Arabidopsis thaliana: one gene and its partner. The protein of the gene in region 1 interacts with the protein of each later gene in a pairwise test. Each region holds a gene or a part of one and is shown in the gene's direction. Other genes may lie near its edges.

Region 1 (6,519 bases):
GCTAAATGGGATTTAGTTCTAAATACATTAAAGATTAAAAAAAGTAGAGGCTGCCGTAAAATTAGTGGGGACTAATTAAGAAATAAAATAAAGTAATAATGACCATAATTATAATTTATATAACTATGAGTTGGATCTAGTTGAATTATTGACGTTTTCAACGTACTTTTATTGGTGTTCAACTTTTTCTGTATTTTAAAAAAATAATATGAAATTAGATTCGTACGTAGCAAGGACTGTCTCTTGCGAATTGATGAAATAATTATACTTGAGACAAAGAATTCTCTGATTGGGTATAGCACGAAATAAGATTCAACTTACACATTTAAGAACTATATGTTTTGCATATAAAAAATTAAACCAAATTTTAAATTTCGTGACAGATAATGATCCAGAGTAGTCTTAGCGATAAGTAGCAATCCGTTAATCGAGGCCTCTTGGTTAATTATTTTTTAAGACAACTAAGCTTAAGATTAGATTAAGCACAAAATGATGTATTTATAATAAACATTGTTATTATTCTAATAACCATTTGTCATTTGTCAATAGCAGTTCCCCAATCATCGTTGACCTTTCTCTCATCATCTCCGAAAGAAAGCAATAATTTAACATTTGAATATAACTAGTGTCCATATTTTGACAATCTCTAAATGATTAATCAGTTGGGATTTATAGATAAATGCCGAATTTGGATGAGTAAACGAAGAAGTAAAACAAAGCTGTTTGGACATATTTATTGGTTCAAACCGAGAAATAACACATTCATCTTTTTACGATCGAAGTCAACTACTACAACAACAAAAATATCGTTAATTAGTTCGTACACAAATTATATTTCATAAATATTTCATCGTTCTACCATTATACTACTCACCGTTCATTATTATTGTTGGTATAATCTGTTTCGTTAAGTTGTATGATAAATTAAAACTAGTAAAGCCGTTTTGTTTTTGTTTATAGTTGAAAAAGTAAGCGTAATATAATCTGTAATTTCTAGAGAATTAATAAGCAAACAAATGGATTTGACTCTTATGGATTTTTTTTATTTATTTGCGAGTGGATGTACAATGTGGACTGAAATTATTGTGACTCCGAGGAGTACTCAGTGGCACCTGCCCCCTCATTGCCGTCACAATATCCCAATACTAAACAAATGTTACTTTTTTAAAAAATATTGTTTTTTTTGGTAGGAAAAAAGATGTATTGTTTTATGCGTCACAGAAATAAAAATAATAATTAACCAACTCAAAATTACTCATTTTAATGAAACGAAGATATTTTTCATTCAACGGATCAAAAATTCAAAATGAGTCATTTCTTACGATCATAGGTTTTAATTTATTTTTGGTATTAAATGAGATGACTCACACAAATATTTCAATAGTTACACGAGTATTAATTAAAGTAGTGACAGTTTCAACAAATTTTAATATTTTTGTTCAGTTCAAAATTCATAGATTTTTAATAAAATCAGTACTGCCAAAGTGATCAGGGCCAAGCAAGCAATAGGCTGACATAACCTAGAGTTGTGACTTGTGATTGTATTGGTTCTTTTACCAAATGATCCAAAACATTGATTATCTACTTAAGTACTTTTCCGGCGTTTTTAATGGCAGTTCTACAAAACATAAAGATAAAATTAAATAACGTTGGCTTAGTATAATGAGATTAATCTTGATTACTAGTTTTAGATCCGAACTAAGCGGTCTCACCACGATTATCTATATATATATATATATATATATATATATATATATGCTTATAGCTTTTAGTTTTAGTAGCTAGTCTATCCATGACAAAATTCATCAATGAGAATATTCATTAGGATCCTTCTGCTTCCGTAAATGCACGAGAATACACACGTATAAATAGTTTCTTCTTAGGAAAAATACTACTATATAGCAAAACATATACATTTATATCTTCAAAATAAAATTACGAGATTGATAAAACTCTAAATATTATTCTGTCTTAAGACTATTTGACCCAATTACTCTTAAAATATATTAGTGGTTGGTCTGATATAGAATATATCTTGTCAACATTTATCCTCTTTAATTATCAAAAAAAAAAAACAGTTCTCCTTATTTTGGTTCTTTCCCTTGAAAGTGAATTTCGTGGTACTGAAAAATAATTTGAATGTCATAAAATATTAGTTATATAACTCTTTCTCCAAGATAAAAACAAAATAATTTTTCGCAAAAAACATTTAAAAATCTAACCAAGTTGTTGGATCGTTTTCATGAGCATTAATTAATTAAATAAATCCGCGAAGAAAGGAGAAAAAAAATACCCACCAAGCCATCAAACGTGTTACGGAGATGGGTGATGTCATTCCACATCATCAATGTGACATAAGCAAAGCTCTTGCAAGCCAATGGGTGAATAGATAAGTTATAACTTTCCAATTATAACCTCAAATCCATGACTAAATTCATAACTACGTTGGTTACTTTCCCTTTATACCCTTTCATGTTCATTATAATGCATAAGCATCTCTCTCTCTTTCCTAAGCATCTTCCTTTGATTTTTTTCTGATCAAGAGAAAAAATCTATTTTCTTCTCTTTCCACTATATTACAACATTTCTTCATTCTCAAATCATCATACTAAAAACCTAAAAAAAGTTACATATTCATTGTATCTTTGTGAGAAAAAAATGGATTCGAATAGTAACAACACGAAATCCATAAAGAGAAAAGTTGTCGACCAACTTGTCGAAGGCTATGAATTCGCTACTCAGCTTCAGCTTCTCCTTTCTCATCAACACTCTAACCAGTACCACATCGATGAGACCCGTCTTGTTTCCGGGTCGGGTTCAGTTTCCGGTGGTCCAGATCCCGTTGATGAGCTCATGTCTAAGATCTTGGGATCTTTCCATAAAACTATATCGGTTCTTGATTCTTTTGATCCCGTCGCCGTCTCTGTCCCCATCGCCGTCGAGGGTTCATGGAATGCTTCATGTGGGGATGATTCGGCGACTCCGGTGAGTTGCAACGGTGGAGATTCCGGTGAGAGTAAGAAGAAGAGATTAGGGGTTGGTAAGGGTAAAAGAGGATGCTACACTAGAAAGTAAGTGACAAAAAAAGTTGAATTCAAATATCAATTTATTATGTTATATTTTTATTCGTGTTTAATGATATAATCTCCTTTTTATGTGGATTTTATTCGAACTTTTTTCATTACAATTTGCTATTTTTGTCTATGGATACCATCATATAGTGGTAGTGCCCCATATAGAAATGACTAATCGTAAAGGTTAAAAGGATATGAATTTGTTCATAATGTCTAGTGCTTAATATATACTAAAAATACAATCACTGTTTGTGTGAATGGTAGTGATAGGAATCGTATGAATACGATTGATTGGATAGGGCCAATCAATGCTGACTATACCATACATAACTTTACCGAATTTTGTTTTACTTTCTATTAGTGTATAATTGCGATTAGTTTGGTACAAACAAGACTGAATGTACCGTGGATTTGTTTGAAATGAACATAAAAAGGCAAAAATGGTTTAGTCATTTATTAACAAATTTGTGATTTATCATTTGCAGGACGAGATCACATACAAGGATCGTGGAAGCTAAAAGTTCTGAAGACAGATATGCTTGGAGGAAATATGGACAAAAGGAGATTCTTAATACCACATTCCCAAGGTCCTTAATTACCTAACTCCTTATATGTCTATTTATGTATCTATATACTCACAATACATATATAATACATATAAACATGGGCAACTCATTTTTATACCAGGGATCTCTAGCCGAAACATATGTTATATTTCAAGTCACTATGTGAAGTTTGCAATGGCCTAAAATCAATATGCGTTTTAATGTTTTGCAGAAGTTACTTTAGATGCACACACAAGCCAACGCAAGGATGCAAAGCAACAAAGCAAGTTCAGAAACAGGATCAAGATTCTGAGATGTTCCAAATCACATACATTGGCTACCACACATGCACTGCCAATGACCAAACGCACGCGAAGACCGAGCCTTTTGATCAAGAAATCATTATGGATTCGGAAAAGACATTGGCTGCTAGCACTGCTCAGAACCATGTCAATGCTATGGTGCAAGAGCAAGAGAACAACACCAGCAGTGTGACAGCAATAGACGCAGGCATGGTTAAGGAGGAACAAAATAACAATGGTGATCAGAGTAAAGATTATTATGAGGGCTCTTCGACAGGTGAGGACTTGTCATTGGTTTGGCAAGAGACGATGATGTTTGATGATCATCAAAATCACTACTATTGTGGTGAAACCAGTACTACTTCTCATCAATTTGGTTTCATCGACAACGATGATCAGTTTTCCTCCTTCTTCGACTCATATTGTGCTGATTATGAAAGAACAAGTGCTATGTGAACATCCAAATCTGGAATGATGAATCAGCACTAGGTCTTCTCTTTGAGTATGTCTAGTTTAATGTAATATTTTTGTTGTATGTTTGATAAAAACACCATATATACTTCTCTTTTTACACCATTCACATGTTTTTTTCTTCCACAAGTTTATTTTGGATACATCATGACACTAAAGATGGCAAAACTTTAATGGATTACCAATTAAACTTAGAATAAACCAACCTCCATAACTGCGCAAGTTCATTTGTCTTTATGGTTATTATTAGTGCTTTTAATTTTGGATTCTATAATTATGATAGATGAATATGATTACCTAAAGAGTGTAAAGAGACTTATCCATTCAAATTGCGGCTATGAATGTTTGCTGCTAAAAAGGAAAAAGTTGGGACAAATGCATTTTGGAACTGTCGTGCTTGTCTTTTTGTTGTTGTTGGCATGTTACCTTTACATAAGCATCACCGTGTACACTAGGGCATTGATTAATGCTTGTTACAACAATAAAACAAAATAAATTAAGCTATAATGTTCGGTTCGGTACAAGTACTTTTTCTTATACAAACTAAATTTAATTCACCCCTGTAATTTGAAAAATCAAATATAACTCCATGAAATCATTTTTAATAGATGTCTAAATATTGATGACTTTTATATATGTTACAGTGTACTGCTATGAAAATAATTGAGAGAATAAAGTGTTTTCTCTGTCGACATAACAAACACAAAAGATGAACAAAAAGGCAAGCAAATTTGGATTCATGAGAATGATGACGGTCAAAGGACCATCACTTCCACTCGAAGAGCTTGTTTAGACACGGAACACACCTTTTCTAATTATTTGGATTCTTAAGTTTGAGAAAAGACAACAACAAAAAGAAAAAAACACCAACAACAAGTTCATGACAGTTTGTGAGAAACTGACAAACTAATAATTTCCCCCCTAATTTTGATTTCTTAAAGAAATTACTTTGGTTATGTAAGATTTTCTATATATGTTAACTTTAAGAAAAGAATAAAATAAGAGATTGAGAAGAAAAACAAAATACATATGTGAAACACTAAATACAAAACACTTTTTCATTGTCAAAGAAACAGAACTACTACCCTATAAGAAATGGTTCTCATTAGATCCCATTTCACGTGTAATAGTGCAAAACTATAATAATAGTAATATAAATAAATTAAATTAACAACAATTAGTGATTTGTGCTAATGTTGGCACTGCATCACTCACTACCCATACATAAAATCCGCAGAACTTAATCTTAAGAAATACTGTATATTTTTCCTCTGTACGTAGATGAATCTTGATTGTTTTCGTCACCGTCAATCCGTCATCCAGCTGCCGGAAACGGTGATGATGTTAAGATGGATCGTTTTTAGGAAATATGAAATCCATGTTGGTTCCGACCCCGCCGCTACCAAACATAACATCAGCCATGTCAACGACAGCAAGACCGTAGTCAACAGAATGACCAGTGGTGACGGATGAGATTGGAATGGTACTTGGAGTGGCAGAGGATGCGGTTGGAGCGGTTGAGTTGTAGCAAGTGTGTGAGCCACGGTATGTGACCCGGAAGGTGAAGGGATCGTCGTTAAGGCGTTGGACTTGTTTCTTGGCCGGGCAATTGTATAGCTTTTGGTGGGTGCACCTATAGTACGCCCTGCAAAATAGAAATTTAATAATCTTACATCTATATGATAATCAAGTAGTAGCTAATAACTTTGTTTTTTAAAGTACGTAGTTAATGATTGAATTAGATTAAAGGTATTTGATAACGAAATCTGAGAAAGATATGTACTTGTAACATCGAAGTTTCAACTTCCAGCTGAACTTTAATAATAGGATTATTTGGTCATTCTATCACTAATAAACTTGGTGGTTAAGAATCAAAAGAGACTGATTACAACATATGATGTGATGGGAAAATATGTAATTAACTAAAGGAACTTCTTGTGACCTTATATATGAAAAGATATTATTATGACCTTATTCTACATTACTAATCTAGAATCTTTGACTTGTTCTGGACGAAAAGCTTATTTTCGTCTTCCAAGTTCCAACTAAACTTGGGTTATATTAATCTCAGATATAGTATAAATACTTATTTGGTAACTAAAGTTAAATTACCTAGGAAACCTAGAG
Region 2 (8,129 bases), on another chromosome or scaffold:
TGCTCAAGGGAAGAACATTCAAGAGCTGATACAATGATCGCCTCACCTGTAGGGAATGTGCTGATGTGTTGTACTATCCCTATACTTCTTAGCAAGACCAAAGTCAATGATGTATACCTTAGAGAAGGATTAAACTTGGTCAATACAATGATGTCTCCAAAAGTAAAATAAGACCAAAAGGATATAGTTAAGACAATAAGATGATAAACCTGGTTCGCACGCCTTCCAAGGCCCATGAGGAAGTTGTCTGGCTTAAGATCTCGGTGAAGGAAAGACTTTGAATGAAAAAACTCAACACGGTTGATCTTATCACAAAAACCAAAGGAAGAAAGAAGTCAATATTTCCTGAAACATAGAGGAGCAAATGAAAGAAAGGCGTCACATGAAGAAGTATACCATTTGATCAGCAAGCATGAGGACAGACTTCAATGAAAGTTTCCTGCTACAAAAATTGAAGAGATCTTCAAGACTTGGTCCGAGTAGATCCATCACCAAAACATTATAGTCCCCTTCAACACCAAACCATTTGACATTTGGAACACCAGCTACCAAAGTTAAGGCAAAAGAAAGGTCATAAGTAACACAAACTTTACATTATCAGAAATCAATATCTCATTCAGAAGATAAGAATCATTACTTCCCCCTTGTAGAATCCTGTATAACTTCGATTCATAGAGCAGCTGTGGATGTTTTGTCTTCACATTTTCCTGGGAAAACAAAAACAAAGAGAATCAAAATCTCAGCTTTTCAACATACTGAACTTGATCAAACTAAACATATTGTGATAATGTTACTTATAAATCCATAAACTTTTTGATCATCAAATTATTAAAATGGGATGACTGAAGAACTCACAAGCTTAATAGCCAGTTCTTCATTCGTATGAATATTAGTACCTGGAAAATCACAGGTTAACAACAATGTTAGAGATAATGTGACGAATTCGATAATCCATAAAATTAAAAACTAGAAAGTGAGAGAGAGACGAACCGAGATAGATCTCTCCAAACGAACCACTACCGATCTTTCGGCCGAGACGAAACTTGTTCCCCACACGAGGTTCCATAAATAACCACGAAACCCCTTGTACAATCTTAACAACCCAGACGCAGATTCAAATAGAGCGAAAGGGACCCCAAAAACAATCCTGACTAGAATCAGCCGCACCAGCAATCCAGAAAAACAACCCAGAGATCACGAACAATGAGATTACGGATTTTTCGCCGACTAAATCAAAACCCAGTAATCATCTTCTTCGTGCTCTCGATCTGGTGAAAAAACTCCATATGAACAGAATGTCGTTTTCTGGGATGCTTCTCTCTCTCTCTCTCCTCTCAAGAATTGAATACGAAGATAAAAAAAAAAAAAAAAAAAAAGAGCTTCGATGGACAGAAAACGATGAGGATGTCTTTCTCAAAGTTTGCGTCTTTTTTTTTTTCCTCTTTCCTTGCAGTTGCGGGTAATGTAAAAAAATTATTTACCTCTGAATGATTCCGGTTTTGTTGCTGTGTGCTATGTTCGGTTTGGTTTCTATGCTTCGGTTCAACCAAACAATCTAATGATTATGGCAAGCAGAATAGTAAAATAGAAAAAATGTGTAAAACATCTATAGAACACATATGTATATACATGCTGAGCATCTTTAAATCCACAAAAATACTACTATTTGAGCCGAATCTACCAACTAAACTAAACCTGGTTTTAAAATTATCCGGTTTATTTGAGAGTTTCAACAACAAGCGCGCTTAGACCATCATTATTCATAGTTTATAAGGTTAGTTCTTAGATAAAGTAGGTCTTAAATTTAATGTTATAATTCAATTAATTGTTAAAAATGACTCTTATATAAGAGCCAAATCTAATGTTTCTTAGGTTAATTCTTAGATAAATTAGGTATTAAATATAATGTTTTAATTCAATTAATCTTAATTCTTAGATAAATTAAGTATTAAATCTAATTGTTTGTCATATTTGTTTAAAATTTTATGTTATGTATGTTTCAAATTTTTTGAGTTGTAATAATTATTAAGTTTTTTAAAATTATAATGTTTCTACTTTTTTTCCAATTTTTTTTTTAAGAACTCAAGTTAAGAGTCCACCATTGCATATTGCCAAAATTTCAATCTCTTAACTAAATTCTTAACTTCAAAATTTTCAAAATCAATTATAAAAATATTCATAAGAACTATTAAGATTATGCTAAGAAACTACTATTAATGATACTCTTATGATGGCTATATGATATAAAAAGATTGACCACTTACCAGGTGTGTTTGCTACGCGTGACTTGAAAGCTCTACAAAATGTTTCTCTTAAGTGGGAGTCGTGGAGGTACAAAAAGCTTTTCACCTTTGCTTTTAATAGGATGAATGAAATGATTTACAGTTATCTGATTAGGTTGAATTTGTCTCATGGTTTTCTGGTTAAAAAAAAATGCTACGCGTGAGGCTTCTTTATTGTGTTTCTGGTCAGACGTATAAAAGGTTGAAACTTCAAATTGAAAATGTCGTGATGAGCTAATCTAGATTAGAGTACGTTTAATTCGTTTGAACTCGGGATGAGCTTAAACCAAACTAAAGATCTTTGTGCCTTTTGGGATATGACTTTTTGTTGTGGACTGTTTTTTTGTTTTTGTTGTGGACTGTTTTTTGTTTTTAATTAGTATGTACAGTGTATGTGAACAAAAGAAGTAATCAGTGTATTGGGCTTGGAAGGCTCATTCTTGGGATGGGCCTTAGTACTAACAGATTCAGAAATCTTCTATTTGATCCCATTAAAGTTCACTAACCTGTACTGTATTTGGTGAAGAATCAAATATATATAAGTGTATATATATATATATAAGTATATAGATAATTAATATAATTACATGCAAAATTTTAATTATATAGATAATTAAAGTTTATATATTAGTTATATATATTTATAATTGATTGAATTCATAAATAAACTTTAATTATCTATATATAAGTCAGTTCTCATTATCCATATATATATGTATGTAAAGTTTTGCATGTTATTTAATTCAATAAACTTAATTTTGCTTTTTAAAACATTAAACATCAATTTTTAGAGAAAGAAAAGTATATATAAAAAGAGAAAAAACTAAAATGGCATTTGTTATAATTTTGGTGTGAAAAGGAGGGAGAGAAAAAAACAAAAAAACAAAGAGGATTTAAGGGTTACGAGTCGCCTCCCCAAAACCCTTGTCCCTAGTCTCTTCTGCTTCTTCTTCTTCAAAATCTCTCTCTTCACCAAATCCTCAGAAGATGAGCAACGACAAGGATAGCTTCAACGTCTCCGATCTTACTGCTGGTAAAATACTCCTACTCACGATTACTCTTATCTCTTTCTCCGCCTCTTAAGCCAGAGCTGCTTTAACCCTAATTTCCTCTGTTATCTGACTGGTGTTCCTTTTGTTTACTGTTTTTTTGCAGCTCTTAAGGACGAGGATCGAGCTGGCCTTGTCAATGCTCTAAAGGTGAGTTTTTTTCCCCTTCTGTAAACTGTCCCGTGAGCATTTGCTATTGAAAGATATGGAGGATGTTGAGTTACTTTCCTCTGATTGTTTAGATACTATAAGCCGTGTCTTGGTGTTTAGTGTTTTGGTTTCAATGTCATTCTTCTAGTACAATGATAGTTTATGAGTTGTTAATACATTGTTATTAATTCACAGAACAAGCTGCAGAATCTGGCTGGTCAGCGTTCTGATGTGCTCGAGAATCTGACTCCCAATGTGAGAAAGCGCGTTGATGCCTTGAGGGATATACAGGTTAGCGAAATTTCTTTCACATTTTACCAAACTATGTGTGCTATATATCGTTTAATGGGGTTTGTTTTGTTTTGTGTGAGTTTTCTCCCTGCTTATCTGAATTTAAAGTTTCAAAAGTAAGGTGTTGCGTTTTGATTACTGATGACTTCTTTCCACGCAGAGCCAACATGATGAACTAGAGGCAAAATTCCGTGAGGAGAGAGCTATTCTTGAAGCCAAGTATCAAACGCTGTATCAGCCTTTGTATGTCAAGGTAATTGTTAATGAGAAAGTTTTACAAACCATTTTACTAAACTCAATGTAGATCTGTGTATACTCTTTTTGCTTATGTTTACTTATCTGCAGCAGTGTTAGTTTTCTATGTGCATCTTAATGAATTCTACTTGGTATCTTGTAATGGCACAGCGTTATGAGATTGTGAATGGCACTACTGAAGTTGAACTGGCTCCAGAGGATGATACCAAGGTGGACCAAGGAGAGGAGAAAACTGCAGAAGGTAACTTCATGAGCACTATGTCTTCTTTGTTTGTTGTTAATCTTTTTGGAAAGACAAAAACAATTTAACATTTTTCTCTGTTTTTCATTGCAGAGAAAGGAGTTCCAAGTTTCTGGCTGACAGCTCTGAAAAATAACGATGTTATTTCCGAGGAGGTAGCCTATATGCAGTTTTGGTGTTCGTTTTATAAACACTCCAATCATAACCATGGAATATGAGCATAACTTATTGTCATTTATGTCAGGTCACAGAGCGTGATGAAGGGGCTCTCAAATATCTTAAAGATATTAAGTGGTGCAAGATTGAAGAGCCTAAAGGATTCAAACTTGAGTTTTTCTTTGACACGAATCCGTATTTTAAGAACACTGTCTTGACAAAGTCTTATCATATGATTGATGAAGATGAGCCACTGCTTGAGAAGGCTATGGGGTAACTACTTATACTCTCTTGCAATTGTTGTATACTTTTAAGTATATTCTGCTTATTAGCTGATTGCATTGAGCTGCTTATTTTTTTTCTTCGCTTATATTGCAAATGGATTCTTATTCTTTCACCATTCATTTTCAGGACAGAAATTGATTGGTATCCTGGAAAGTGTCTAACTCAGAAGATTCTCAAGAAGAAGCCTAAGAAAGGTTCAAAGAATACTAAACCAATCACCAAACTCGAAGATTGTGAAAGCTTCTTCAACTTCTTTAGTCCTCCAGAAGTTCCGGATGAAGATGAAGATATCGACGAGGAAAGAGTAAGATAACGATTGTTAGAAAAACCTGTCATCATTTAGTTAATGTATTTAGTAACTCTTTCTCGTTCTTTGATGCAGGCTGAGGATCTTCAAAACCTGATGGAACAAGATTATGACATCGGGTTCGTCTTTTTCTAAACACACTTTCTCTGTTGATTTTATGGGTTTGCTTTTGAGTCATGGGACTACTTTATCACTGCAATCAAGGTGGTTACCCTTTCATTATTATCTGATCACAAGTACTTTTTACTTTCTGCAGATCTACTATTCGGGAAAAGATTATTCCTCGTGCTGTCTCATGGTTTACTGGTGAGGCTATGGAAGCAGAGGATTTTGAAATAGATGACGATGAGGAAGATGACATTGATGAGGATGAAGATGAGGAAGACGAAGAGGATGAGGAGGACGATGATGATGAGGATGAAGAAGAAAGCAAGACCAAAAAGAAGGTATAAAGTGCCCCAAGTATAGTTGTTTCTTTTTTTTTTTTTTTTCTTCATGCCACGTTAGTTTTTTACTAATCCTTTGAAATCGCTTAATATTTTTTTTTGCAGCCATCAATCGGCAACAAGGTATGTAACCTTTCAGAACTAAAGTTTATTTGATTTTGGAACTCCAACATTCAAATAACCAAACACAAGAAGTTTCAGGCTGAGCATTGTGATGAAAATAGAAATTAATATCGGAAATGTAGGCTCTAGAGGCCCATGAATCATACAGATTGCTGAAAGTAACTGAGCAATCCTAAAAAGTATGAATCAGTAAATAGGTAGTTACGTAGAAGACTCTGAGAAGGATACATGAATGACACAGCAGAGACTAAACAAGCTCTTTAATCATGGCATGGGCAGTACGAGATAGAACCATTCTCATGAATTCATTTTATTACTATAGTAGCAAACTAGCAATCAGTGTCTATGTTTGTGATAAATGTGAGAATCATCTGCTTAATTTTTTTTTCCTCTTGGACTGCAGAAGGGAGGGAGATCTCAGATAGTTGGTGAAGGTAAACAAGATGAGAGGCCACCCGAATGCAAGCAACAGTAATCTTTTACTACGCTCTACCAGACATAAAAGGATTGCGTGAAAATATAATTCAGGTCATTCTCTGTTCATCAAGAATGAGGATTGAGAAAAGGTTTTGGGATTTTTAAAAGTGAAATTCATCTTGTAGGAGTTTCGTTCGTTTTTCTATTGGTGTGTTTATTTTCTCTAAAGCACTTTAATAATATACCTTGGTATTTAATTTATGAATCAAGCATCATCATCCCTAGTCTCTGCATTCACTACTTCATCCCCTACCTAAACTTTGTCGACGAAAGAGATTTTAATAACCATTTAGATAGTAATGGGTAGTGGGAATGATCATTATTCTTTTGTTCACCGTCCTTTGATTTTCAATGGTAACCATTTTGTTGTGTAAGACTACAAAAGATGAATAATTGGACTATGACCATATTATATTAGTCAAGTCTAAATCGGTCGAAATCAGTTCACCTTTAAGATGAGTAATTTGACTAAATGCCTCCGCTTGTTCAACACTAATTATAATTTAAATTATTGTAGAAGGAAAACACAAAGAAAGTGAGGTTCCGAACATCCACAATTTGGACTAATCACATACTACTTAAGAAGTTTAATGCATCATTAGAGCTAAATGAGGGGAAAAAAAAGCTAGCTAAATAAACTTGAGACACTTGTTTGTGTTTGGTGTTATGAAAAACAAACTCAAAAGTCGCAACACTGTTTGGTAAATTGGAGACATGCGAAGAGGGGACCGCTTCGTTACCATTCAGAGTATTTGACGTAATATATTCCGTTTTAAGAAACCTATCTAGTTTCCAAGAAATTTACTAATAAAGGTGCTTGAGAAAGACCGTTGTTGATGATACGTTTTTTTATTTGCTAATGAAACGATTCGGTCGTTGTTTCTTGAAATTCCACTGTTATTAGACTCTTGACTCTGTTTTGTTTCCCGCCGATCTCGTGATGATGGCCACCACCACCACCACCACCACCGCTAGATTCTCTGATTCATACGAGTTCAGCAACACAAGCGGCAATAGCTTCTTCGCCGCCGAGTCATCTCTTGATTATCCGACGGAATTTCTCACGCCACCGGAGGTATCAGCTCTTAAACTTCTGTCTAACTGCCTCGAGTCTGTTTTCGACTCGCCGGAGACGTTCTACAGCGATGCTAAGCTAGTTCTCGCCGGCGGCCGGGAAGTTTCTTTTCACCGTTGTATTCTTTCCGCGAGAATTCCTGTCTTCAAAAGCGCTTTAGCCACCGTGAAGGAACAAAAATCCTCCACCACCGTGAAGCTCCAGCTGAAAGAGATCGCCAGAGATTACGAAGTCGGCTTTGACTCGGTTGTGGCGGTTTTGGCGTATGTTTACAGCGGCAGAGTGAGGTCCCCGCCGAAGGGAGCTTCTGCTTGCGTAGACGACGATTGTTGCCACGTGGCTTGCCGGTCAAAGGTGGATTTCATGGTGGAGGTTCTTTATCTGTCTTTCGTTTTCCAGATTCAAGAATTAGTTACTCTGTATGAGGTAAAACACAATCCACTAAATTCTCATTGACTCATAACATCATCTTAAGTCTCCTCTGTTTTCATTTCAGAGGCAGTTCTTGGAAATTGTAGACAAAGTTGTAGTCGAAGACATCTTGGTTATATTCAAGCTTGATACTCTATGTGGTACAACATACAAGAAGCTTTTGGATAGATGCATAGAAATTATCGTGAAGTCTGATATAGAACTAGTTAGTCTTGAGAAGTCTTTACCTCAACACATTTTCAAGCAAATCATAGACATCCGCGAAGCGCTCTGTCTAGAGCCACCTAAACTAGAAAGGCATGTCAAGAACATATACAAGGCGCTAGACTCAGATGATGTTGAGCTTGTCAAGATGCTTTTGCTAGAAGGACACACCAATCTCGATGAGGCGTATGCTCTTCATTTTGCTATCGCTCACTGCGCTGTGAAGACCGCGTATGATCTCCTCGAGCTTGAGCTTGCGGATGTTAACCTTAGAAATCCGAGGGGATACACTGTGCTTCATGTTGCTGCGATGCGGAAGGAGCCGAAGTTGATAATATCTTTGTTAATGAAAGGGG

What was found. Proteins that work in one complex are often made in the same cells at the same time.
Region 2: the proteins of WRKY54 (region 1) and NAP1;1 interact in binary tests that used the Arabidopsis thaliana proteins (3 or more experiments, as listed by UniProt).

Annotation. Positions count from the first base shown.
Region 1 is NC_003071.7:16,998,494-17,005,012, reverse strand, and holds WRKY54 (WRKY DNA-binding protein 54), read left to right. Parts: upstream 1-2,484; 5' UTR 2,485-2,658; coding exon 2,659-3,071; intron 3,072-3,559; coding exon 3,560-3,661; intron 3,662-3,851; coding exon 3,852-4,377; 3' UTR 4,378-4,594; downstream 4,595-6,519. Other genes in the region: WRKY55 (WRKY DNA-binding protein 55), read right to left, coding at 5,737-6,037, 6,505-6,519. UniProt on the Arabidopsis thaliana protein: Transcription factor. Interacts specifically with the W box (5'-(T)TGAC[CT]-3'), a frequently occurring elicitor-responsive cis-acting element.
Region 2 is NC_003075.7:13,229,443-13,237,571, forward strand, and holds NAP1;1 (nucleosome assembly protein1;1), read left to right. Parts: upstream 1-3,125; 5' UTR 3,126-3,269; coding exon 3,270-3,315; intron 3,316-3,437; coding exon 3,438-3,481; intron 3,482-3,676; coding exon 3,677-3,772; intron 3,773-3,932; coding exon 3,933-4,025; intron 4,026-4,177; coding exon 4,178-4,268; intron 4,269-4,361; coding exon 4,362-4,423; intron 4,424-4,512; coding exon 4,513-4,697; intron 4,698-4,835; coding exon 4,836-5,013; intron 5,014-5,091; coding exon 5,092-5,135; intron 5,136-5,272; coding exon 5,273-5,462; intron 5,463-5,567; coding exon 5,568-5,585; coding exon of another isoform or gene 5,586-5,618; exon of another isoform or gene 5,619-5,988; coding exon 5,989-6,060; 3' UTR 6,061-6,466; downstream 6,467-8,129. Other genes in the region: CK1 (casein kinase 1), read right to left, coding at 47-117, 210-305, 397-545, 638-707, 856-896, 991-1,066; AT4G26120 (Ankyrin repeat family protein / BTB/POZ domain-containing protein), read left to right, coding at 7,003-7,563, 7,634-8,129. UniProt on the Arabidopsis thaliana protein: May modulate chromatin structure by regulation of nucleosome assembly/disassembly. Contributes to the regulation of cell proliferation and cell expansion. May function in nucleotide excision repair (NER). Involved in somatic homologous recombination.